Lonchura striata: one gene and its partners. The protein of the gene in region 2 purifies or fractionates together with the protein of the main gene of each other region. This does not show direct contact. Links are inferred from orthologs where the notes say so. Each region holds a gene or a part of one and is shown on either strand. Other genes may lie near its edges.

Evidence for each region.
Region 1: the proteins of FOS (region 2) and STK40 purify together in Homo sapiens (affinity purification with mass spectrometry; 3 studies listed by BioGRID and IntAct, counting the BioPlex papers as one, with this or other methods). This does not show direct contact. The link is inferred for Lonchura striata from reciprocal best matches to the Homo sapiens genes FOS and STK40.
Region 3: the proteins of FOS (region 2) and COP1 purify together in Homo sapiens (affinity purification with mass spectrometry; 4 studies listed by BioGRID and IntAct, counting the BioPlex papers as one, with this or other methods). This does not show direct contact. The link is inferred for Lonchura striata from reciprocal best matches to the Homo sapiens genes FOS and COP1.

Annotation. Positions count from the first base shown.
Region 1 is NC_134628.1:4,218,960-4,226,093, reverse strand, and holds the start of STK40 (serine/threonine-protein kinase 40), read left to right. Parts: upstream 1-4,087; 5' UTR 4,088-4,181; intron 4,182-7,134. Other genes in the region: U7 snRNA-associated Sm-like protein LSm10, read left to right, coding at 1-227, 1,831-2,207. UniProt on the Homo sapiens protein: May be a negative regulator of NF-kappa-B and p53-mediated gene transcription.
Region 2 is NC_134608.1:23,109,056-23,117,033, reverse strand, and holds FOS (protein c-Fos), read left to right. Parts: upstream 1-4,920; 5' UTR 4,921-5,058; coding exon 5,059-5,199; intron 5,200-5,604; coding exon 5,605-5,850; intron 5,851-5,964; coding exon 5,965-6,072; intron 6,073-6,192; coding exon 6,193-6,810; 3' UTR 6,811-7,594; downstream 7,595-7,978. UniProt on the Homo sapiens protein: Nuclear phosphoprotein which forms a tight but non-covalently linked complex with the JUN/AP-1 transcription factor. In the heterodimer, FOS and JUN/AP-1 basic regions each seems to interact with symmetrical DNA half sites.
Region 3 is NC_134611.1:3,321,003-3,328,759, forward strand, and holds the start of COP1 (E3 ubiquitin-protein ligase COP1), read left to right. Parts: upstream 1-4,671; 5' UTR 4,672-4,677; coding exon 4,678-5,015; intron 5,016-7,757. UniProt on the Homo sapiens protein: E3 ubiquitin-protein ligase that mediates ubiquitination and subsequent proteasomal degradation of target proteins.

The DNA of each region.
Region 1 (7,134 bases), on a different chromosome or scaffold from region 2:
GGGGACAATGGGGCATGGGACAGCAGGACATAGGGACATTGGGACAGGCGGACACCGGGGCACGCGGACAGCGGAACATGGGATATTGGGACACGCGGACACCGGGACAGCGGGCACGGCGCGGCAGCGGGCGGAGCCGGCCCGCCGCTTCCGGGCGGGGCAGGGGCGGGGCCGCGCGTGCGCGAGGGGCGGGGCGGCGCGGCGAGCGCGCGGGAAGGCGGCGGCGCGTGAGTGCGGGGGGGGACGGGGACACCGGGACCGGGGACAGCGGGCGGGGAGGGGCTGGGGGCACGGACAGGGCGAGGGGGACGGGGGGGCGTGCGGTGGGAGTGCGGGGTGGGGTGAGAGCAGGTGGGTGTGAAAGGGCCGCGTGTGCGCGGCTGGGGTGCGTGTGCAAGGTGAGAGTGCAAGGGCGCACACAGCGTGTGTGCGTGCAGGGCAGCGTTTGAGGGTTGGTACGGCGTGCAGTGTGTGTGCAGGGGATGGCCCGTGGGTAGGTGTGTGTGCAGGGATTGGTCCGTGGGCAGGATTTGGTCCGTGGGCAGGTGTGTGTGCAGGTGTGTGTGCAGGGGATGGCCCGTGGGTAGGTGTGTGTGCAGGGATTGGTCCGTGGGCAGGTGTGTGTGCGCTGGTGTGCGTGCAGGGGATGGTCCGTGGGCAGGATTTGGTCCATAGGCAGGTGTGTGTGCAGGTGTGTGTGCAGGGGATGGTCCAAAGGCAGGATTTGGTCCATGGGCAGGTGTGTGTGCAGGGATTGGTCCGTGGGCAGGATTTGGTCCATAGGCAGGTGTGTGTGCAGGTGTGCGTGCAGGGGCTGGTCCGTGGGCAGGTGTGTGTGCAAGGATTGGTCCATGTTCAGGTGTGTGTGCAGAATTTGGTCCATGGGCAGGTGTGTGTGCAGGGGATGGTCCATATACAGGTGTGTTTGGAGGTCTTGGGCCACGGGCAGGTGCGTGGGCAGGATTTGGCCCATGGGCAGGTGAGTGAGCACGGGATGGTCCATGGGTAGGTGTGTGTGCAGGGGTTATTCCGTGTGCAGGTGTGCGTGCAGGGGATGGCCCATGTACAGGTATGTGTGGAGGGCTTGGTCCATAGGCAGGTGTGTGTGCAGGTGTGTGAGCAGGATTTGGTCCGTGTTCAGGTGTGTGTGCAGGTGTTGGTCTGTTGGTAGGATTTGGTCCATGTTCAGGTGTGTGTGCAGGGGCTGGTCCATGTTCAGGTGTGTGTGTAGAGGTTGGTCCATGTGCAGGTGTATGTGCAGGGGTTATTCCATGGGCAGGTATGTGAGCAGGATTTGGTCCATGGGCAAGTTGTGTGTGCAGGGGTTATTGCACGTGCAGGTGTGTGTGCAGGGGATGGTCCATGCACAGGTGTGTGTGCAGGGGATGATCTGTGTGCAGGATTTGGTCTATGGCCAGGTGTGTGTGCGGGGGATGGTCTGTGTGCAGGGCTTGGCCCACGGACAGGTGTGTGTGCAGGGGCTGGTCCGTGTTCAGGGGCTGGTCCGTGTGCAGGTGTGTGTGCAGGGGCTGGTCCGTGTGTAGGTGTGTGTGCAGGGGCTGGTCTGTGTTCAGGGGCTGGTCCGTGTGCAGGTGTGTGTGCAGGGGCTGGTCCGTGTGCAGGTGTGTGTGCGGGGGCTGGTCCATGTGCAGGTGTGTGTGCAGGGGCTGGTCCGTGTTCAGGGGCTGGTCCGTGTGCAGGTGTGTGTGCAGGGTTTGGCCCACGCACAGGTGAACGTGCAGGGCTCAGCCCATGGGAAGGGACTGCTCGGTGTGAGGCACAGCGGGTGGCTGTCCCCAGCCTCTGTCCCCAGCCCCCGTCCCACCGCAGCCGCCATGGAGGTGAGCCACTCGCTGAAGGAGCGCACCATCGCCGAGAACAGCCTGGTGATCCTGCTGCAGGGCCTGCGCGGCCGCGTCACCACCGTGGAGCTGCGCGACGAGAGCGCGGCCGCGGGGCGCGTCACCAGCGTGGACGCCTTCATGAACGTGCGCCTGGCCGAGGTGACCTTCACGGACAGGCGGGGCGCCGTGTCCCAGCTGGACGAGCTCTTTGTGACCGGCAGGAACATCCGCTACGTGCACATCCCCGACGAGGTGGACATCCGGGCCACCATCGAGGAGCAGCTGCAGGCCATCCACAGGGTGCGCTACTTCGGGGGCCGCGACAAGGGCCGCAGGGAGTTCCCTCCTGCCAAGCACAAGTGAGGAGCTGGTGCTGCCCACCGCAGCCAGCATGGACCAGGCACGGGGCTGGCATGGAGGTGCCCCTTTGATGGACTGCCAGCTCCCTCCATCCCACACGACATCCCCCAAGGAATGTTTTCTCCCAGGGACTTCAGGGTCTTGCTGTTCCCCACACCTGCAGAGGAGCAGGACTGTTTTTTGTAGTGAATAACACCACTTAAAGGCTCTGTGGTCTCTCTGCTCATTTCCTGTTCCATTGGCAGCTACTCGTGTCCCTCCTCCAATGGCCAAAGGAGCGGAGCTGCCATCCCACTGCCCCTGGCTCAGGCTTTCCTTGCCCGCTGAGCAAAGGACTTGCTGTCACCAGCATGGCTACCCTGGGAGCTGGAGCTGTTGGTGCTGAGCTGGGCAGGGGCTGGTTCTGGTCTGTGCTCAGAAGAGAGCGAGATGAAGGGGAACGTGCAGAGGAAGAGGCAGCATCGTCTGTCCCAAAAAGCAGGAACGTGCTTTACCAGGATGCTGGCACTGCCGGCTCCTCTGCTTCCTGCCCCTCCATCACCAAACTCTGCCGTGCTACCAAAGTCTGCAGCCCTCCTTGGCCAGTTCCCACAGGGACCCGCGGGACACGGAGCCTTGTGGCCTCTGCGAGCGGAGCTGGTGGCTGTGCCCCAGGGGTGTGTGTTTGCACAGCCCTGTGGCTGGGCAGCAGCACCGGGCAGAGCAGGGAGCCCAGCCCGGAGGGCTCCAACCCCGCTGGTCCCAACCCGGGGCTCAGAGCGTGGGGGTTCTGTGGTCCCAGTCCGGGGTGTTCTAGTCAGGGGGACCCAACCCAGGGTGTCCCAGTCTGCAGGTCCAAACCCAGGGTGTCCCAGTTCGGGTGTCCCAGTCTGGGATATCCCAGCCTGGGATGTCCTGGTCTGGGGTGTCCCAGTTCAGGGTGTCCCAGTATGGGGGTCCCAGTTTGGGTGTGCAGTTCAGGGGGTCCCAGTTTGAGGGTCCCAGCTCAGGTGTCCCAGTTCGGGGGTCCCAATTCGGGTTTCCCAGTTCGAGGGTCCCGGTTTGGGTTGTCCCAATTTGGGGGTCCCGGTTCGGGTGTCCTGGTTCGGGGTGTCCCAGTTCGGGAGTCCCGGTTTGGGTGTCCCAGTTCGGGGTGTCCCAGTTTGGGAGTCCCGGTTCGAGGGTCCCAGTTTGGGTGTCCCGGTCCGGGGTGTCCCAATTTGGGTGTCCCAGTTCGGGGTGTCCCAGTTTGGGGGTCCCGGCTCGGGTGTCCCAGTTCGGGGTATCCCAGTTTGGGTGTCCCAGTTCGGGGTGTCCCAGTTTGCGGGTCCCGGCTCGGGTGTCCCGGTCCGGGGTGTCCCAGTTTGCGGGTCCCGGTTCGGGTGTCCCGGTTTGGGGGTCCCGGTTCGGGTATCCCAGTTTAGGGGTCCCAGTTCGGGGTGTGTTTGCGGGTCCCCGTTTGAGGGTCCCGGTTCGGGTATCCCAGTTTAGGGGTCCCAGTTCGAGGTGTCCCAGTTTGCGGGTCCCGGTTCGGGTGTCCCGGTTCGGGGGTCCCGGTTCCGCCGGGCGGGGCTCTGTGGGCGGGGCCTGTGTGCTCTGTGGGCGGGACCATCTTGACAAGCCCCGCCCCTTGGCCAATCACGGCGCGTTCGAATCTCCCGCGTGCTCACCAACCCTGCGGGCTCCTGGCCCAGGCCTGAGCCAATCAGCGATGGCTTCATCGCGCCACAGCCAATCAGCGCTCGCTGCTTGCTTCCCTCGCCTCTGCACGTCCTAACCAATCAGAGCCAGCTGCAAAACCCGGTCCGGCCCCCGGGCTCTCCTCCAATCACCGCCCGCGCTGTCGCCGTCGCCCAATCAGCGCCGCCGTTTCCCCGTTCCGGCGGCGGCCAGCAGGGGGCGGGCTGGCGGCGGGGGGCGGTGGCGGCGCGTCACTTCCGGTGCCAGGCGGCCGCCGGAGCGGAGCGAGGCCGGGCCGGGCCGGGCCCGGGGCCATGGGTGAGTGAGGGGCGAGAGAGCGGGGAGCCGGGACAGCGTGAGTGAGGGGCGAGAGAGCGAGGGGCGAGAGAGTGGGGAACCGGGACAGCGTGAGTGAGGGGCGAGAGAGCGAGGAACCGGGCCCGGGTGAGAGAGCGGGGAACCGGGACAGGGTGAGTGAGGGGCGAGAGAGCGGGGGGCGAGAGAGCGGGGAACCGGGACAGCGTGAGTGAGGGGCGAGAGAGCGGGGAACCGGGCCCGGGTGAGAGAGCGGGGAACCGGGACAGGGTGAGTGAGGGGTGAGAGAGCCGGGGGAACCGGGCCCGCGGGGGGAATGGGGCGGGCTGAGGGGAGAAGCGGGGATCGGGTGGGATATGGCCCCGGTCCCCGTCCCCATTCCGGTGCCCGTCCCGGTGCCCCTGTGCGCTGGACCGGGCGCTGCGGGGAGACGCGCCGGTGGTACCGTTCATGCACCGGGCCTCGACGGGACCGGGCCGGGGCAGCCCCCCAGGTGCTTGGGGGCTTGGCTGCCCCGCTCGGCTCGGTGCTCTCCAGGCCGGGGCTGGGTTTGAGCCCCGCGGGGGCTGGGGCGGTGCTGCCAGCACGGTGGCAGGTCCGTCCGGGAGCCGAAGGAAGCACGGCCCGTGACTGGGGTCACGGTCCAGTCTGGGCAGGAATCTTTGAATTTAGACTTTCGGGAGCTGTATGCGGAGGAGGAGCCTCGTGTGCCTCAGCAGTGAGTAGGTGAGGGCTGTGTCTCTGGGTGAGGGTGAGTAACATCAGCAGGTGTCAGAGCAGGGACAGACCCTGCCCTGCACTCCGTGGGAGCTCACCTGAGGGGCTGGGGCACCTCCCACCCCCAGAGCCAGGTGCTGTCCCTCTCTGGTCTGGCCTGTGGGAGCCCTGCTGCCTGTGCAGTGCTGAGGGTGTCTCACTGCTGGGGGGACCTCATGGGGCATCGTCTCCACCCCTGTATGGGGGATTTAGGGTTGTGCCCGTCCAGCTGCTCCCTCCTGCCCAGGCTGTGCTGAAATGTGCTGCACCAGAGTTGGGGATTCAGTTCTTTGCTAGTTTAGAGCCCTAATGGCTAAAAGGCTTAACATCTGCTGGTATAAACAGGTGTGCTGGGGGTCTCGGGCTGCAATCCCATATCCAGGGGGAGCTGGAGAAGTCAGAGCAGAGGCCATTGCCTGATGTGGTGGGGCTGAGCCACCGCCCCTCTGCCCTGTGCTGTGGGACAGATGGCTGCTCTGAGGCAGCAGGGACACAATGGGGCACCCAGGTGAGGCACCTGGCACCCAGGTGAGGCGTGGCTTGAGGGACAGCACGGGAGCACTCACCTGCTGGCATGGAGCCCTGGGCTGGCAGCACTCAGGATTCAGGACATATTTCCCCGTTGCTGGAGGGCTCGTGCTGCATCCTTTGATTGTTTCTCTGTGGTATCCATGCTGAGGGATTGATCTCATAAGTGTGCTCCTTAGAAGCAAAGTTCAGCTGGGCTGTGGCCCTCAGGATGTTTCAGAGCTTGGGAGAGGCAAGGGAAGCCTCATAGGTAGCAAGCTGTGCTGTGATTCAGCACAGAAAGGACACCAACCTGTTGGAGCGAGTCCAGAGGAGGCACCAACCTGATCAGAGGGCTGGAGCACTTCTGCTATGAGAGAATTGGGGTTGTTCAGCCTGGAGAAGAGAGCCTTCAGGGTGACATAACTGCCCCTTCCAGTGCCTGAACGGGCCACAAGAAAGATGGACAGAGACTATTTACAAGAGCCTCAAGTGACAGGACAAGGGGGCATGGCTTTACACTGACAGGGGGCAGGGTTAGATGGGATATCTGGGAGAAATTCTTGCCTGTGAGGGTAACCTCTGGCACAGGTTACCCAGAGAAGCTGTGACTGCCCCATCCCTGGAAATGTTCCAGGCCCCAGGTTGTTCCAGGGCTTGGAACAACCTGGGGTAGTGAAAAATCTCTTTACCCATGGCAGGAGGGTAGAAGGGTCTTTAAGGTTCCTCCCAACCCAAATTATTCTGTGACTAGGAATAGGAACAGCCCTGGGAATTGTGCCTGACCTGCCCACTGAGCTCAAGGGATGTTACCTGCGCAGAGGCTCCAGGCAGGTACAGTGTGTGTCTCCTTCCTGCCTGGGACCTCTTGCTGGACAGACTAGGCTCTGTGTGGCCATTTTCTGTGTGAAACAGGCTGTTTTGGTTAATATTTTTTCATGAGTGTGCAGTTCCTGTCAGTGTGTTGTCACACTGCAAACCCCGGTAGCGTAGGCCTGGCAATGTGTGCAGGTAACTTCAACACGTTTGTCTCCAGGTAGGGCCAGGTGAGTCACTGCTGAAAGAAACTGCAGCCACACCTTGCTGGGAAGTGGCAGCACGTGTGTGGGTCACACTCTGTGCACGCAGAGGTCCTGCTGCAGGGGCTTATAGCATATTGATAGTGTCAGAAGCAATCAGTGAGAAATTAAACCTTGTCATACAACCCACTGCTCACCCCTGGTGGGGTTTGGGAGGTGAGCACAGCCTGACTGCAGGCACAGACCAGGTCAGGGACTCCTGTGCTGGGGCAGCAATGCAGCCTCAAGTGCTGCAGCTGCATTTCCAGGCTGCTGCTGTGAGGGTGTCGTGCTGGAATGAGGATTTTTTCTGGTAGATGTGGCCTGTGCTGCAGCACGAACGGGTTAAGCTGAGGTTGGTGTTTATGTAACCAAAGAGGGAACTCCCAGAGATGAGTCCTTGGCTATCTCATGTGTTGATGCATCAGAAGGGCTTGAAGAAAGCCTGGCTTGTTGCTTGCGCCGTAATTACGCACTGGAAGCCTGTGCTTCAGAGTTTCCCTGGCTGCCGGGGGGGCAGCCAGGATGGAATTTGCTTTCCCTGATGTGTGACTTGGCCTGTGGAAGCCTTTTTTGTCCCTGAGAAGTTGGAGACTGACCACAGCTGGATGTGGGTGGAGGTAAGGTGTGCTGGG
Region 2 (7,978 bases):
AGTGTCTTTCTTCCTCCCAGACTATCCTTTGTAATCCTTTGTCTGTCCTGAGTTGCCTTGAGCCTTTCTTTCCCCAGAGCACTCCCCAGTCACAACAATTAGAAATCTTCTTTCTGTCCCGCGCTAAACAATCTTCAACATCCTGTTCCTTCACTTCAGCTGCTTTGTTCTCCATCTGTAACAAAATCCCCTTAACTAAGCACAGTGGCATTTTCCTCCTTCTTCTCAGCACTTCCTCCTTTGCTACCTTTGACCCATTTTACTCAAGAGCCACTACACTAACAGAGGAGCAGGACCCCTGTACCCAGCCCCAGTCCCTTTACTCAGCCCCCAGCACAAGCATCAGTATTGCTGCCCAGCCACACAGGAAGGAGGTAGTTTGTGCAATGTGACCATTCAGCTCCTACCTCCAGAAAGCTCTTGGACACAACAGGAAGCCCAAGCTTTCTCTTGATTGTGTGGGTTTTTATTGCAGGCATCTCATGGGGTTCCATCAAGGAAATAAATCCCAGCTATGCTTGCCTTGTTTGGATCTTTTCTGATAATCAGAAAAGTCCTGCATCATCCTGTCTGTCACTGGGTTTGAACATGCTGCCTTTCACTGAGCATGTTTTCCTCTCCTCCAAGCTCATTAGTGCCCTGGGACTGTAACTGTGAGCATGCCCAATGCCCTGGGATGGGCCTGTGGTGCTGGAGCTGGCAGGGAGCTAAGAGGCCAGCTTGGCCATGGTGTTCCGGCTTTGTCGCACTGCCATAGCACACACGGCACATTGGTGGTGGCAGCAGCAGGAGTTTTATCTGGAGAACTTTGTGCTCCAGTTGCCCTAGGTTATGAACCCTGGTTCGTGGGGTGATGGCTGCCAGCCTGGCCTTGGGGCAAGAGGGTGCAGAGGCAGTGCTTCAATGGGCGAAGCTCTTTCACACCTGCTGGCTGTGAGCAGTGCACAGGTTCCTCAGTGTGTGCAGCAAGGTCCAGCTGTGCCTGGCGAGTCAGTATCCAGCATGGTGCAGGCAAAGAGTGATGAGAATAAGTGGGATGGCACAACAGTAACATCCGCAGTAATTGGTGGCCCATGGCACGCGGCTGTGCGACCACGAGATGCCAGGATGTCTTTGATCGTGGTGTTTATTCTTTAGGATGTCCCTGTCACACACCCAGCTGCTGTGATTATTAATTACTATTTATACTTTGCTTTGGGTATGCACTGTACCTTTAAGACCAGCAGAGGTGGGAGCCCTGCCCTCCCGGAGGCTCCCAGGCTAGGTAGAAGGGTGACAGCTGCAGTGTGTCTTGGGGGGAATTCAGGACACTCAGATAACATACTATGAGCCCTTTCTCCACCCTTTGCTCCCCAGCCACATCAACAGAGGGGGCAGGCTCTTGCCACTGGTTTTTCAACCCCCTTTTCTGCTTTTCCATCCCATTTTCTTCTAAGCCCTGCAGCCTCTGCCTGACTTTAAAAGCCTCTCTGGGGACAAGGGGAAGGATGGGATCCCTTGTGCATTGTAGGACACCAGGAGCAGTGGATGTGCAGGTGTGTTCGGGGAGAATTTCACAAATGCCCCTGGATCCTGCCTATAAAATTTGTACCACAACAGGTGCTCAGATTATTGTGCGGATCCTCTGATAGTATGAGCAGGATGCTTGCTTCCCCAGGCAGTGATGAATTCTCAGTGCAGGGGTGCTATTTTTTGGTGTCACAGCAGTGCCCCATGCATGCCAGTTCTGCTGCTGAACTCTGGCTGTCTGGTCTCCTTCCCAATGACCCCAACAGTCCCTGGTTAGCTGGAAGCAGATGTCCATCACGTTGTGTGTCTAGAGAAGGAATATGGAACATGCTACAGTCAGCGCTGCTGACAGAGAGTGGGTTGAGATGGTCATGTGACTACCAAAGGGCCATGAACTTTCCCCTGGTGCATGGCCAAATTTAGGCACAGCCATCTCTTGCCCCTGAAGTGGGTTTTGACTGTGTAGTTGCCCTGGCACACATACCTCAGGTGCTTTTCTGCTGTAGTTTTCCAAGGTCAGCCTGAGTTGCAGGCTCAGGTGAAGGATGGGTGTGAAAGTAGAGCCAAGTTCCAGTGCTGTACTCTGAGGCTTAGGGGCTCACTGTTCTATTATAAGCCTCAGACCTGCAAGCTTTCCCATCTCCCTTCTTGGTAGGAGAAAAAGTGGAGGCCAGGAAGGTGGAGGGGCTCTGTTGGCATGCAGAACAAGAGCTCATTGGATGGATGCTGTCCTTCTGCCCTGCCGGCCCCATTGTGATGCCCAAGAAGTGAAGTGGGAATGGCGTCTTCTGTCTGGCCAGGCACCTGGGAAGAGTCATCTCCCTGCTGGTGACAGTCAGCAGCCAACTCCTCCTCATCAGCATGGGACCCAGAGGTGCAGTGGGCTTGTCTGAAGCAAGGGAATAGTCCCTAGAGAGGTGTGTCCCTGCAGATGAAGCCTGACCAAGCACCACTAGAGCATGTAAAAGCCCTGCTGACCCTGGTTGCACAGGTTTAATAATGTTGTAGTGTTCACTGAACTCATGGTCCACTCCACAGATCAAACTAATTTATCAGGGTCTAATGCCTCTTCCCGTTCCCAGCTGGCAGGGGAGGTGAGGAACCTCCATCAGCCTGGCATGCTGGTGAGGGCAACCCTCTCACCCAGGCAGGAGGGTTCATGCTCTGACTCTGTTTTGTCCCTGTGGTACCGCCTGCTTCCTTTTTTTGTTCTCACACATACTGTGGTAAAACGTGTGCACCCTGTGTTTGGAGCAAACAACAAACCCACGTCATGTGTTTTTGCTTTCTCTGTTTCGCTGCCCCACGTGTTAGAAATGTGCGGCATCTGTGCACTTTCCATTTGGTACAAACAGATCATGCTTGTCACCAGTGGAGATGGCAACAAATGGTTTGCATGGGCACCACAAAAATATTGTGGGTTTTGGTGAAGTGGATTCCCTCCTGATTTCCTGACACTTCTTTTGGGGAAGGTGGTTTGGGTAGAGGAACCCTGGGATAGTTTCTAGAGAGGAGGGCTAAACAGTATTTTTCCGAAATGTGCCTGGCAAATATCTGAGACTGGAAATTGTGTCAGAGGCTCTTGCCCATGCTGGGCACCGATACGTTGACCTAGGCCCTGGTGGGGATGTGGCTGCAGGGGTTTGGCCTGTTGCTCACTGCTGGCAGGGATGGCAGAATCGTGGCTTTGCTAATTTGCTGGCACGTCCCTCCTCTGGGCAGTGCTGAGGGCCTCCTCACCTGCAGCCTCGGGCTGCTGAAGAGACCATACTTGCCCCAGTCTTTTAGTAGCTGGCATGAGGGGAATGCTGGCCAGAGAAAAGAACCCATGGCACCACAGGAACCTGGGGTGACAGATGCCTGCCCCGGGATGGACTAGCCTACGGGCCAGCACTGAGCTGATGAGAGCAGCACGGGCCCCCGCAGGTCCTTTCCCAGGGAGCGGTATGGGCCGTGAGCTGCGGCAGTCCTTGGCTGTCCCCTCTGCTCTGACGGGCAGATCAGAAATAGCAGCTGGCCCAGTTCTCCCGCCCCCGTGGCCCAGATCTCTAAGAACGGAGGTTGCTCGCGCAGCAACAGCAACAGCAGCAGCATCAAGCGCTGCATTTAGCCCATGAGCTCAAACAGAGGGAGAGGCTGCCAGCAGGATCCCAGCCTGGCTGGGTGACGCTCCTGCCTAGAGACTGCGCTGCAGGCTCTGTTTGTTGCTGTAAACACGCTCCCTGCTGCAGCTTCCCTGTTACTATCTATAGCCGCGATCTCTTGGCTCCCGTGCAAGGCGAGTCTGCGGTCTGGCTCCCACCTTAGCCTGACCTGAGCCAGGGCTGCCTGACATCCCCGTCGTGGGTGGGTGTCTCCGGGCTTCGCTGCAACAAGGATCAAAACAAAACCCAAACTGGAGGAAAGGACGAGCCTCGCCCCTCTCTCTCCTCGTCGGTGGTTTCCCGGTGGCCTCTTGCCCATGCTCTTGGCGGCTATCCCAGCCCCCCACCCCCACCCCGAGCGCTGCTCCCAAGCTCTCCCAACCTTCCCGGAGGGCTGCGGCCCCTCAGGCTTCCCACCGCCCTCTGCCATTACCCTCACTCTCGACAATTACAAACATACATGAGAGAGAAGTCAGTACTGACACATGAGCATAACGCGCTCCTCGCTGGAGGGACGCGTGGAAGTTGAGCTTTCCGTGCATGGGGCCCACTGAATACCAGTGCCCAGCTAGGGGCAGACCCCGCTCAGTGCTGACGATGGGGCTTGACTTGCAGCGCAAAGCGCACCCCTGGCCCGCCGGGCCCCTTCTTCGCCGCCTTCCTTGGAGCACCTTGCCCCAAGGCTGCAAGGCTGTGCGGGGCCCCGCTGAAGGGAGGGGCGCACTTGCGGCGGGCCGGCGCCCCCGGGGAGGGGGTCAGCTGCTGCGGCACGGCAGCCCCCAGGGCAGGGTCGGTGCCCCAGAGCCCTCGCCGGGTCTCGCCAGGCGATGGGGGAGGGGCCGGCGCGTCCCGAACCGTCCCGTCCCGTCCCGCGCGCCGCCCGCCCGCCCGCCGCACTTGGCTGCAGCCTGGAGCGCTTCCCGTCAGTCACGCCCCCTCGCACAGGATGTATCCCATATAAGGATATCTGCGTCAGTGGGTTCCCGAGCCCGGCCGTACCACTCCGCGCGGGGGGGCAGCTCCGTGGCCGCTCCCTCCTGCTCTGCTCTGGGGCCCCCCTGCCCCTGCGGCCTCCCCCCGCCCCGTGCTGTGGGTCTCTCCCGGGGGGGGCGGTGGCAGACTGCGCGCGGGGCGGCCCCGGGGAGGCGCGGGGCGGGCGCGGGGCGGCCGACCCCCCCCCACAGGCGCGGGTGGCACGTCCCCTGTGACGTCGCGGGAGGGTATAAAAGGGAGGCACGGCGCGGTACTCCAGCAGCTCGGGCAGCCCCGGCGGTGGAGCGGAGAGACGCGCGGCGCGGACCAGGCACAGGGACGCACGCAGCCGACCCCTCCTCGCTTCATCCCCAAGGACACTTTGCCACCGTCGCATCACCTCTCACCTTCGGCTTGCGCGTACCGGGCCGACATGATGTATCAGGGCTTCGCCGGAGAGTACGAGGCGCCGTCCTCCCGCTGCAGCAGCGCTTCCCCGGCCGGGGACAGCCTCACCTATTACCCCTCCCCGGCGGACTCATTCTCGAGTATGGGCTCCCCTGTCAACCCGCAGGTGAGTTGCTGAGCGTGCGGGCTGCGCTCTTGGCCGGGGCAGGGCAGGAGCGCTCAGGAGGGGACGGGACGGGAGCGGGTGGTACGGGGCTAGCCGTGTCCGCGGAGGAGGTCAGGCCGGGGACCGGCATGGGGAGCGGCCCCGGTGCCGAGGCGGGGCGGTCGGGGGGTGCCGTAGCCCGGGCCGCGCTCTGCGGCGGGTGTGTAAAGCGGCTTCATTGATAAAACGCGAGTTCATTGAGGAGACTCCGGAGCAGCGTCTGCGTCAGCGCGGACGTCAGAGATATTTATAACAGGCCGCTCTCGTGTGGAGCCGGCGCTGGCAGCGCGGCGCCGCGGCCCCGGGGACGGCGGGGAGCGGCCCGGGCGCTCCGCTGACGGCAGCCCCCCTTCCTCTGACCTACAGGACTTCTGCACCGACCTGGCCGCCTCCAGCGCCAACTTCGTGCCTACGGTGACGGCCATCTCCACCAGCCCTGACCTGCAGTGGCTGGTGCAGCCCACTCTCATCTCTTCAGTGGCCCCTTCCCAGAGCCGCGGGCACCCCTACGGCGTCTCGGCGGCCGCCCCCACCACCTACTCCCGCCCCGCAGTGCTGAAGGCGCCGGGCGGCCGCGGACAGAGCATCGGCCGCCGGGGCAAAGTCGAACAGGTGAGTGCGGATTGCAGCTGATGGGGGGACCGGGGGGACGCGCCGCGGGCGGATTGCCCTGGCCGGGGGGCACCGGGCTGGCAGCGGGACTGAGCGATCTCTCTCTGCCCGCAGCTGTCCCCGGAGGAGGAGGAAAAGAGAAGGATCCGCCGGGAACGGAACAAGATGGCAGCGGCCAAGTGCCGCAACCGGCGGCGGGAGCTCACCGACACGCTGCAGGCGGTAAGTGCTGCCCGGGAGGTGGCTGGGATAGAGGGAGTACCGGGGGCGGGGATGACGGGAGGAAGAGGACTCCAGCTGGGAGTGATGCCGGCCCTGGCTGACAGCCTGCTCTCTCGGCAGGAGACCGACCAGCTGGAGGAGGAGAAGTCCGCGCTGCAGGCGGAGATTGCTAACCTGCTGAAGGAGAAGGAGAAGCTGGAGTTTATCCTGGCGGCCCACCGGCCCGCCTGCAAGATGCCCGAGGAGTTGTGCTTCTCCGAGGAGCTGGCAGCTGCCAGCGCCGCTACCGCGCTGGACCTGGGCACCCCCAGCCCCCCCATGACGGAGGAGGCTGCCTTTGCTCTGCCGCTGATGCCTGAAGCGCCGCCGGCCGTGCCGCCCAAGGAGACCAGCAGCAGCGGGCTGGAGCTCAAAGCTGAGCCTTTCGACGAGCTGCTCTTCTCCACGGGGCCGCGGGAGGCCTCCCGCTCGGTGCCCGACATGGACCTGCCTGGGGCCTCCTCCTTCTACCCGTCGGACTGGGAGTCGCTGACTGCCGGGACCAGCGGTGAGCTGGAGCCCCTCTGCACCCCTGTGGTGACCTGCACCCCGTGTCCCAGCACCTACACCTCCACCTTCGTCTTCACCTACCCCGAGGCAGAGGCTTTCCCCAGCTGCGCTGCCGCGCACCGGAAGGGCAGCAGCAGCAATGAGCCCTCGTCCGACTCCCTCAGCTCCCCCACCCTCCTGGCTTTGTGAAGGGCTCCGGCATTGACTGACCTGCTGGGCCCCCTCCCCTGCCCACGCACCCCCACGGACTTGCAGCTGTGCCCCATGGGGCTCCCCAGGCCTGGGGAGGGCCCTGCCACCGCCACCCCCTGTCTGGCCTGGTGCCCCGGGGCCTGGCAGAGCGTCATGCACCGAGGTCTCTTACCTCTTCCAGAGATGTAGCAAATCGCATGGAGTTTGTCTTGTCCCCAGTGGCCCATCCATGAGAGCTGGTAGTCTGTAGCATGTCCCACATGGCTGGGTAGGTGACTCCCTCCCCTCCTTAGTATCACTAGCATTAACTAATTAATCTATTGGTTTTAAATGATTGGAATTTAACCTGGTGCTGGGTATCTCCAACTCGTATCTAGTGCAGCTGATTAACAATAACTACTGTGTTCCTGGCAATATCGTGTTCTGATGACTTAGCAATGACCCATCTTACGTGGGGGGAAAGAGACTCTATTTTATTTTCTAGTAGGTAGATAAATAGCTATATCCATGTACTGTAGTTCTACATTGATGTTCATTGTAACTTTACTGATCATGCATTGTTGAGGTGGTCTGAATGTTCTGACATAAGTTTTCCATGAAAACGTTTTTATTGTGTTTTTAATTTATTTATTAAGATGGATTCTCAGATATTTATATTTTTATTTTATTTTTTTCTACCTTGAAGTCTTTTTTGACATGTGGAAAGTGAATTTGGATGAAACTTAAGCATTGTTTGCTTATTATTGTTCAGAGACATTGTCAATAAAAGCATTTAAGTTGACTGCTGGAGCTGTCCTTGTGTTACCTTTTGCACTTGCTTCCCTGTGCCCTCAGAGGGGTTCCCTAGCCTCTAATTTTGTCTGGGCTTTATAAACTGCAGAGACCTGCAATCTGCCTGAGACTTAGGGTGCTTCAGGGTGGGAATACCATTTAGGGCAGCCCTGTCCTTGTCCTGGTGCTAGTCAGGTCTGGCTGTGGTTACACCCATTCTGGTAGGCTGCAGGATCACTCCCTAAGGCCCTTCCTAGCTGATCTGTCTGGGTCTGGTCCCCTTCTGTGTCTGTGTGTCACCTGCTGTGCCCTTTGACCAGCTAGCTGGAGGTCTTGCTGGAAAGGTGGTGAAAGGGCACCTCTAGGCTGGGGCCCACATGATCATTTCCACGTG
Region 3 (7,757 bases), on a different chromosome or scaffold from region 2:
CCTGAGACACGCAGCCCATGGATCACTTCGTGTGGAAGAAGTCTCAGTCTCCCTGCAAGATGACTTATGCAGAGTATCCTTAATGATTCCGTGGCTGGACTCCATGGCTGCAGCTGCTTGTTGCACAAGTAAATGGAGCTGCAGCTGCAAATGGCACAGACTCGAGTGTTAAGTAGGGTTTATGTACCCAAAAGAGCAGAACCTTACACTGCTACTAAAGTTCATTCATCTATAGATAGTACTTGGATTCTCCTTCCTTTAATGCCATGGGTAGGGTGTCTTCTCTCTTTGCACAAGATGAGAACTGCTACTTTGCTGGGATGTTGTCAGCAACTGGCTTCAGAGGCTAAAAACACAGATAAGTTAGAGCAGATTCCTCCAGTCAGTCTTACAAAATGTACATCTGTCAGAAATACCAGTTTCTTTGCGTAAAATACCCACTAAGGAGTACAGCTGGAGACAACTTATCCCAAAGAAACAGATTTGTTTGCAGCCTAAGTTTCAGGCCAGTCGGGAATACGTGATGTTTGCTTTCTGTACTTGATCCACACAACTCTGAAAGCAGGCAGACATATCTCCACTAAGACTAAGTTGGGAAATAGAGGCAATCCTCTGAAGCAGGACCTATGAGGAGTGTGCTACATGAGGGCGCAGGTGTCCCCACACCAAGACTTTCCCCTCTGTCCTGAGCCCATCATGAGTTGTGCTCCAGTGCAGGGTTCTGGCCTGCAGGCAGTGCAAAGGCACACTGCTGGCTGGAGGAGGCACAGAAACCTCTCAGCTGATCTATCCTCTTTCACTCTTGTACCCTCGCCACTGATAGTAATCACAGTGTTGTTGATACCTGGACTAAATCAAACCAATTCTTAGAGCTCATCTTGTGCTAACAGGAACTAGAAGATAATTGACAAATCACTGTTCCAGCTGCAGTGCACTGGAGCTGGAAGACTTTTTTCCATGTCCTTTTTCCTGATATAACACAAAGGTATCTCCAGTAAGCAGCACCTAACCTTCCCTTTGGCTGCATACATGGACTGTGGAACTGGTAATGCAAGGTAACCCCAGGAAAGAAGTGTCTCCAGAGCCAGAGGCTGCTCCCAATGCACCTGGGCAGTGAAAAGAAGATATTCACTCAGAGGGTCTCCAAGAGCTCATAATGGTGTCCTGAAGCTCAGGAACCAGGGAGATCTTCCGTAGGTATTGAAGTGCTGGTAGTCACACTCATTGCCAGGGCTGTGGGTGTAGGTGATGTTGTGAAGGCCAGTTATGTATCGGCATAAGTGCTCACACATTTGTTCTCTAACAGCTTTTGCCTGTGTCATCTTTTTCTCTCTGGAGCAGTCAGTAATGGCATCAGCAAGACTTTTCAAGGGTCAGTCAGTATTTCAGTGTGAAGCATGGGATTGTGCTATTGCCAATACTACTGCTTACTACTTCTGAAAGTCCATTGTAGGCACTCATCTATAAAGTTTTTGATCCTTCTGGAAGAGAAGGAAATGAGACTTCCCTTTCTCTTAGCAATAGAAAATAAGATGCACACACAGACACTAACAGCCAGGCTGAAAGAAAGGTCTAAATAACAGCAATTCTCTTTTGCTTCCACTGAAAACAAGGGGAAACACTACACTTCAATGACTTTATGGAGCTAGTCTTGAGATCTGTGAGTCGGAAAGCTATTTACAGAAAGCAGGGGAACCCAATGGCTTTAAAAAAACCACAAACCCAAAAGAAAATACCAAAAAGAGTCCCCAGAGCTATATTAAAAAACGTTTTTAATAACAGCAACAAAGAGTTAAATCATGGGAGTGACTCTAATAGCAGATGTCGCCTTGTAAAGGTGAGACTGCTGACCTGGATCTCTCAGGGACTCTAACTTTGAATTTCCGGGCTTGAATTGAATTCCTCAGAGACATTCTGGGTTTTGCTGACTGCCTTGGTGATTTTTCCTAACATCAGGGGTAAACATACAGAGTCAAATACCCAGTAGTATTCCAGCACCTCTGAGAGGGGAGGTCAGGAGGAGCACTCCGCAGCTCTACCCCTCCAGCTGCACCTGCAGGGTAAATCCAGAGCTGTGTTTTGCCCTTCTGCCTTTGGGACATTTGTCATCCAGCATCCCTGACAGCCTGGGAGGTCTCCTGACCAATACTGCCTACCTGAAGCACCTTTTTCTCTCTCTCAGACCAGTTTTACCAGCTCCCATACTGGTTTTACGGCTCACTCTGCTGTCCCTGCTGGGAGGAGTGCTGCAGCTGATCTTTTTGGGCGTTTTCCCATACCTGGGTTTAGGATTACCCTCCTCAGGGAATGCCCTAGTGTTTCACCAGCTGCCTCCTCCACTCCAGACAAGTAAAGCTGACTGTGGACAATACAGTTGCTCAATGCAAAGGAGGCAATATGTTTCCAAAGGCTGTTGAAAGAGAAATTAAAGGGAACAGCAGCTATCTCCCCACAGGACTTCTGGCTGAGCCAAGGAGTTGACAAGTGCTGTGTTTCATGAACTTTTCAGTTTGGCATGTAAAAGGCTGGATCTGGGGACAACATTTCTCATAACACCCAAAACATCTTTGGGGCATCCTTTATCAACACTTTTCTAATTAACTTGTGCAGAAACTGGTCTGCCCTTGCTGTATAAAACTCAGGCCTGCTGTTGGGAAACAGGAACCCAACAGGCTATGGTCCTCACCATTGGGATTCCCACCCACCCGGGCAGAAGAAAGCTGCCTCAAACCTGGGAAAAGCTGTTCACTCACCACCAGACATCTGTCACAGAATCACAGAAACATTTAGGTTGGAAAATACCTCCAAGATCATCTAGTCCAATCTGTGACTGATCACCACCTTGTCACCCAGACTAGAGCACTGAGTGCCATATCCAATCTTTTCATGAACAGCTCCAGAGATGGGGACTTCACTACCTCCCTGTTCTAATGCTTAACAACCTCTTTCATTGAGAAATTCTTCCTGATGTTCAACCTGAACCTCCTCTGACCAGGTTGAGGCCATTTTCCTCTTCTCCTGTCACTTGTTACCTGACAGCAGAGCTTGACCCCTACCTGGCTACACCTTCCTATCAGGGAGTTTAATAAAGTCCCCTCTGAGCCTCCTCTTCTTCAGCATGAGCCCCCAGAGCTGCTACTCAGAGGACTTGCTCTCCAGCCCCTTCTCTGTTGCCACTGTTGTCCTTCTCTGGAGCCACTCCAGACCCTCAAAGTCTTTCTTGAAGTGAGAGGCCCAGAACTGGACATAGCAGTTGAGGTGAGGTTGCTGCTGACCAGCACCCTCAGGTTCTCCTCCACTTGGCCACTCCTCCTCCAGTCTGTTACACTGCCTAGGATTCTTGTCACCCAAGTGCAGACTAGGCACCTGTTGAACCTCACACAATTGGCCTTGGTCCATGGATCCATTTCTTTGTGTGGGGCTGGATGGCATGGGATAAAGCTCAGCATACTTAGAGCTGCCCTTTGGGGTACCTAACTAAGGTGAAGAACATCCTGTGAGAGACAGAGCAGCCCTGCCCTTCACAGGATCTCTTTGTGGTGCTGGGGGCCCAGGGAGGGTCTCTGAGTGACAGCCTGGCACATTTCCCTCTGAGGCCAGGGTGCCTTCCCCTCAGTGCAGGGAGATCACAGAATCACAGACTCAATTAGGCTGGAAAAGACCCGTGAGGTCATCGAGCCCAAGCTATGAGCCAGCACCAGCTTGTCAACCAGACCATGGCACCATGTGCAGTCTTAAACACCTCCAAGGGCACTGACTCCACCGTCTCCCTGGGCATCCCATTCCAATGAATAATCACCCTTTAGTGTGAAAGAATTCCTCACTATGTCCAGCCTGAACCTCCCTCGGCACAGCTTGGACTATTTCCAACCTATCGCTGCTTGCCTAGGAGTAGATTCCCACCCGCACCTGGCCACAACCTCTTGTCAGGCGGTCACAGGGAGCGAGAAGGTTCCCCCTCAACCTCCTTTCCTCCAAGCTGAGCTCCCCCAGCCGCTCCTCAACAGACTTGTACCTCAGGATTGTGCACCACTAGATGTGCTGTCAGGGGGAGCAACTTGAGGCGCAGCTGGAAGCTCCTGACCCACACTCCGAGCCCGCGGCTGAAGTAGGAAAGCCCAAGCCCAAGCCCAAGCCCAAGCCCAAAGCCCAAGCCCAAACCCAAGCCCAAACCCAAACCCAAGCCCAAGCCCAAGCCCAAGCCCAAGCCCAAGCCCAAGCCCAAAGCCCAAAGCCCAAGCCCAAACCCAAGCCCAAGCCCAAGCCCAAGCCCAAGCCCAAGCCCAAGCCCAAGCCCAAGCCCAAGCCCAAGCCCAAGCCCAAGCCCAAGCCCAAAGCCCAAAGCCCATCGGCCACGGCTCCGCCGCTCCGTGAGGGGAGCGCGGCCGGCCCCGCCCCGCCCCGCCCCTCAGGGGCGCGGCCCCGCCCCGCGCACGCGCGGCCGCGCTGTCCGCCTGTCAATAAAGCTTGAACAAGCGCCGCGCCGGGGCCGCCGTTTTGGGTTTTTGATTTTTTTTTTTTAATTGCGGGATTTTTTTTTTTTTTTCATTTTTCTTTTTTTTAATTCTTTTATTCCTCCTCCCCGTTTTCTTCCTCTGAAGGAACTTTATTTCCCCTTCCCCCCGCGCGCACGGGGATGCGCTGAGGCCGCTCCGCCCGGCCCGGCCCGGCCTCGGCATGTCGGGCAGCCGCCCGCCGCACCCCGCCGTGCCGCCCGCCGCCACACCGGCCTCCTCTTCCTCCTCCTCCTCATCCTCCTCGTCCTCCTCCTCCTCCTCCTCGGCGGCCATGGCCCCCGGCTCGTCCTCCTCGGGCGGCGCGGCGGCGCGGCCCGTGCTGGTGGCGGCCGCCGTGTCGGGGTCGGGCGCGGGGCTGGCGCGGCTGGCGGCGGGGCCGGCGCGGCCCGGCGGCTCCTCCGCGGCGCCGGGGGCCGGCGGCAGGAAGAGGCCGCTGCTCACCCCGCTCTGCAACGGGCTCATTAACTCCTACGAGGACAAGAGCAACGACTTCGTGTGGTGAGCGCGATATGTCGCGATATGTCACCGGGGGAAGGCCGGGCGCCGCCATGCCGTCGGGAAGCCTGGGGAGTGTGGAATAGCGGCGGGAGGAGGGAGCAGCCGGCAGCCCCTCCTGGCGCTGGGACGGCTGCTGCCCGCCGGGGATTGTGGCTCGGGGGTTTTCCCTCTTTTGTGCCTCTGTCAGAAATAGTGTGGCCGGCAGGAGTAGGGAAGTGATTGTCCCTCTGTGCTGGGCTCTGGTGAGGCCGCACCTCCAGTCCTGTGTCCAGTTCTGGGCCGTTCAGTTCAGGAAGGACGTGGAGCTGTTAGAGCAGGTCCAGAAAAGGGCTGCAGAGCTGGGGAAGGGCTGGAGCACCAGGACTAGTTGGGAGGGGATCTCCTAGGGTAGCCTAAGGAGGAGAAGTGACTCGGGGGAGACTTTGTCACTTTCTACAACTCTGTGACAGGATGTTGCAGCCAGGTGGGGATCAGACTCTCTGATAGCTAGCAACAGGACAAGTGGACACAGCCTTAAGCTGTGCTAGGTTGGATGTTGGCAAGAATTTCTTCCTAGAAGGGTTGATTATATATTGAAATGGGCTGCCCAGGGAGGTGGTGGAGTCACCATCCCTGGAGCTATTCAGAGAACAACTGGACATAGCACTCAGCTAGTTGACACCACTAGTTGGCATGGTGGTGTGGGGTCGTAGGTTGGACTTGATGATCTCAGAGGTCTTTTCCAGCCTAACTGATTTTGTCTGGTTTTGGCCCTATGTAGCGGCATTGCCTCCACCCTCTCTATTTTTAAGCAAAATCAGGTTATTCCTGGCAGGTTCCTCCTTGAGTGCACCCAAGTTGTTGGAAAGGCCCTGCAGCACGAGATGTTTCCTCACAACGTTCTGACAACACAGCAACTGCCTTGTTTTCCTGGACAATGTGACCTCGAGTGGTCTGGAGCCCTCTCATCTTTGGAAGAGGATTCATCAAAGGATTAAGTGCCCCTCTGGAAGGGACTCCAAGGACCCTCATGATGTTTGATAGCTCCAGCAAAGCTGGCTTGGTTTGCCCATGTTGCTGGGAAAGGTTGTCTAGTTTGAAACTGCAACAAGTTTTGTATCAGGCAGGCACCTACAACCAGTTTAGTAGGGAATTTCTTCTGTGATGGTCTAAAAATTTTACAGATGTTGTTTTCTAGCACCCAGCCATTCAACTGTAGCTCATAGCTGGAAATCACCTTTCAACATAATTGGCAAACTGAGGCCCATGGTTTGAGAACTGTTGGTAATTTGAATCTGTTGCTGGCAGGTTTCAAATGTCCCAACACAAGAAGTAGGTTTGGTTTTTGTAGTTGAATGTGCTAAAATGTGACAACAGGAAGTAAGGTTAGGTGTTTGCCTCTGAGAAAGGCAAACAGGGAAGAGGTAGTGGGAAAAAGATCAAGTTGTAGCAGTCATGGAAAGGAGATAGTAAAAAAAAGTTGATTATAAGTGGGCCACAGCTTCCAAGATTATTTTGACAGCTCTAATGTAAGCTCTGACTTACAGGTGAGGATTGGATGTGAGGCATCTCCCAGAGGACAGGTATTGTCTCAAAACCTTGTAGGCTTAACTTTACAGCTTGTAAAGTGTTTAGCAGAGTAGATAGGAAATACCTTTGCTACTGAAGTGAAAACCTGAAGCTAATAAGTTAGTAGCAGGAAAAACAATAAGTTATTCTTGTTAGGAATTAGTAACAGTCAAAAATTACTGCTTTTACTGTAGTTAGTAGTTTGCTCAGTAGCAGAATGGGGATGAGAGGACTGCTGTCATCAGCTGATGCCCTGCTCTGGTTCTAGGCCATGTTAGGTGGATTTAGGAGCTCTTGGTGTGAGCTTGGTTGCTCCCAGGTTTTCTGGTCATGGGGTATGAACACAGCTACAAGTGCCCATTCTCCTCTGTTCCCTCTACTCTTACACTCTGGCAGTAGAGTTCTGCCAGCATGGCTCCCTGCCCTTTCCAGTCAGCTCTTATGTCCTATTTTGTTGTCTGTTGAAGAAATGAGGGGTTTGGAAAGGAAATTACACCCATAACAAATTTGTAGACTTGATGTATTTTTAGATGGTTCAGAAAGCTGAGGTTCTTGCTTTTTTTCTGCAGGTAAGTACTGTGCGTGCTTCAAGGAGAACCTGTAATTAGCTGTTTTCTTCTCATTGAGAAGCACTACTGACTGAACAAGTGAGAGGAAAGAAATCAGCCCAGTAGCACTCAGGGCAAAATGTCATTTCTTAGTATTTACAAGAGCCACACTGAACATACTGAAGTACAGGTCAGAAGCTTTATGAGCAGACAATGGTTATAGTTAACTTGGGTTTTTCACTGCTCTATATTTCTGTGGGCTAAAGGGCTTGTTCTTACTTATTATTGTTTTAGCTTCAAATAACAGTATCTGTCTTTTTTTAAATTTGATTTAGCAATATAGTTATGTAGAAATAAACCAAACTGGGCAGCTCTGAAGTTTTGAGCAATGTCCAGGAAGGCAGGTGTGTGTTAGTTTAAATAATTGATTTAAACAAGCTTTACATATCTCAGTGTGAGAAACAGAAGTTTCCCCCATGCCTTTTTGCCTCTGTAAGGATAATTCAAGATGCTGCCAGAGGCAGAGAGCAGACTTGCTAATTTTTCTGAACATGAGCTGTAAGTTGCTGTTAGCCACAGCTGTAAATTCAGTGGTAGATTATGCCTGTATGAGGTGGAAGGTAGGAAAGAGTAAAGAGGTTTGGGC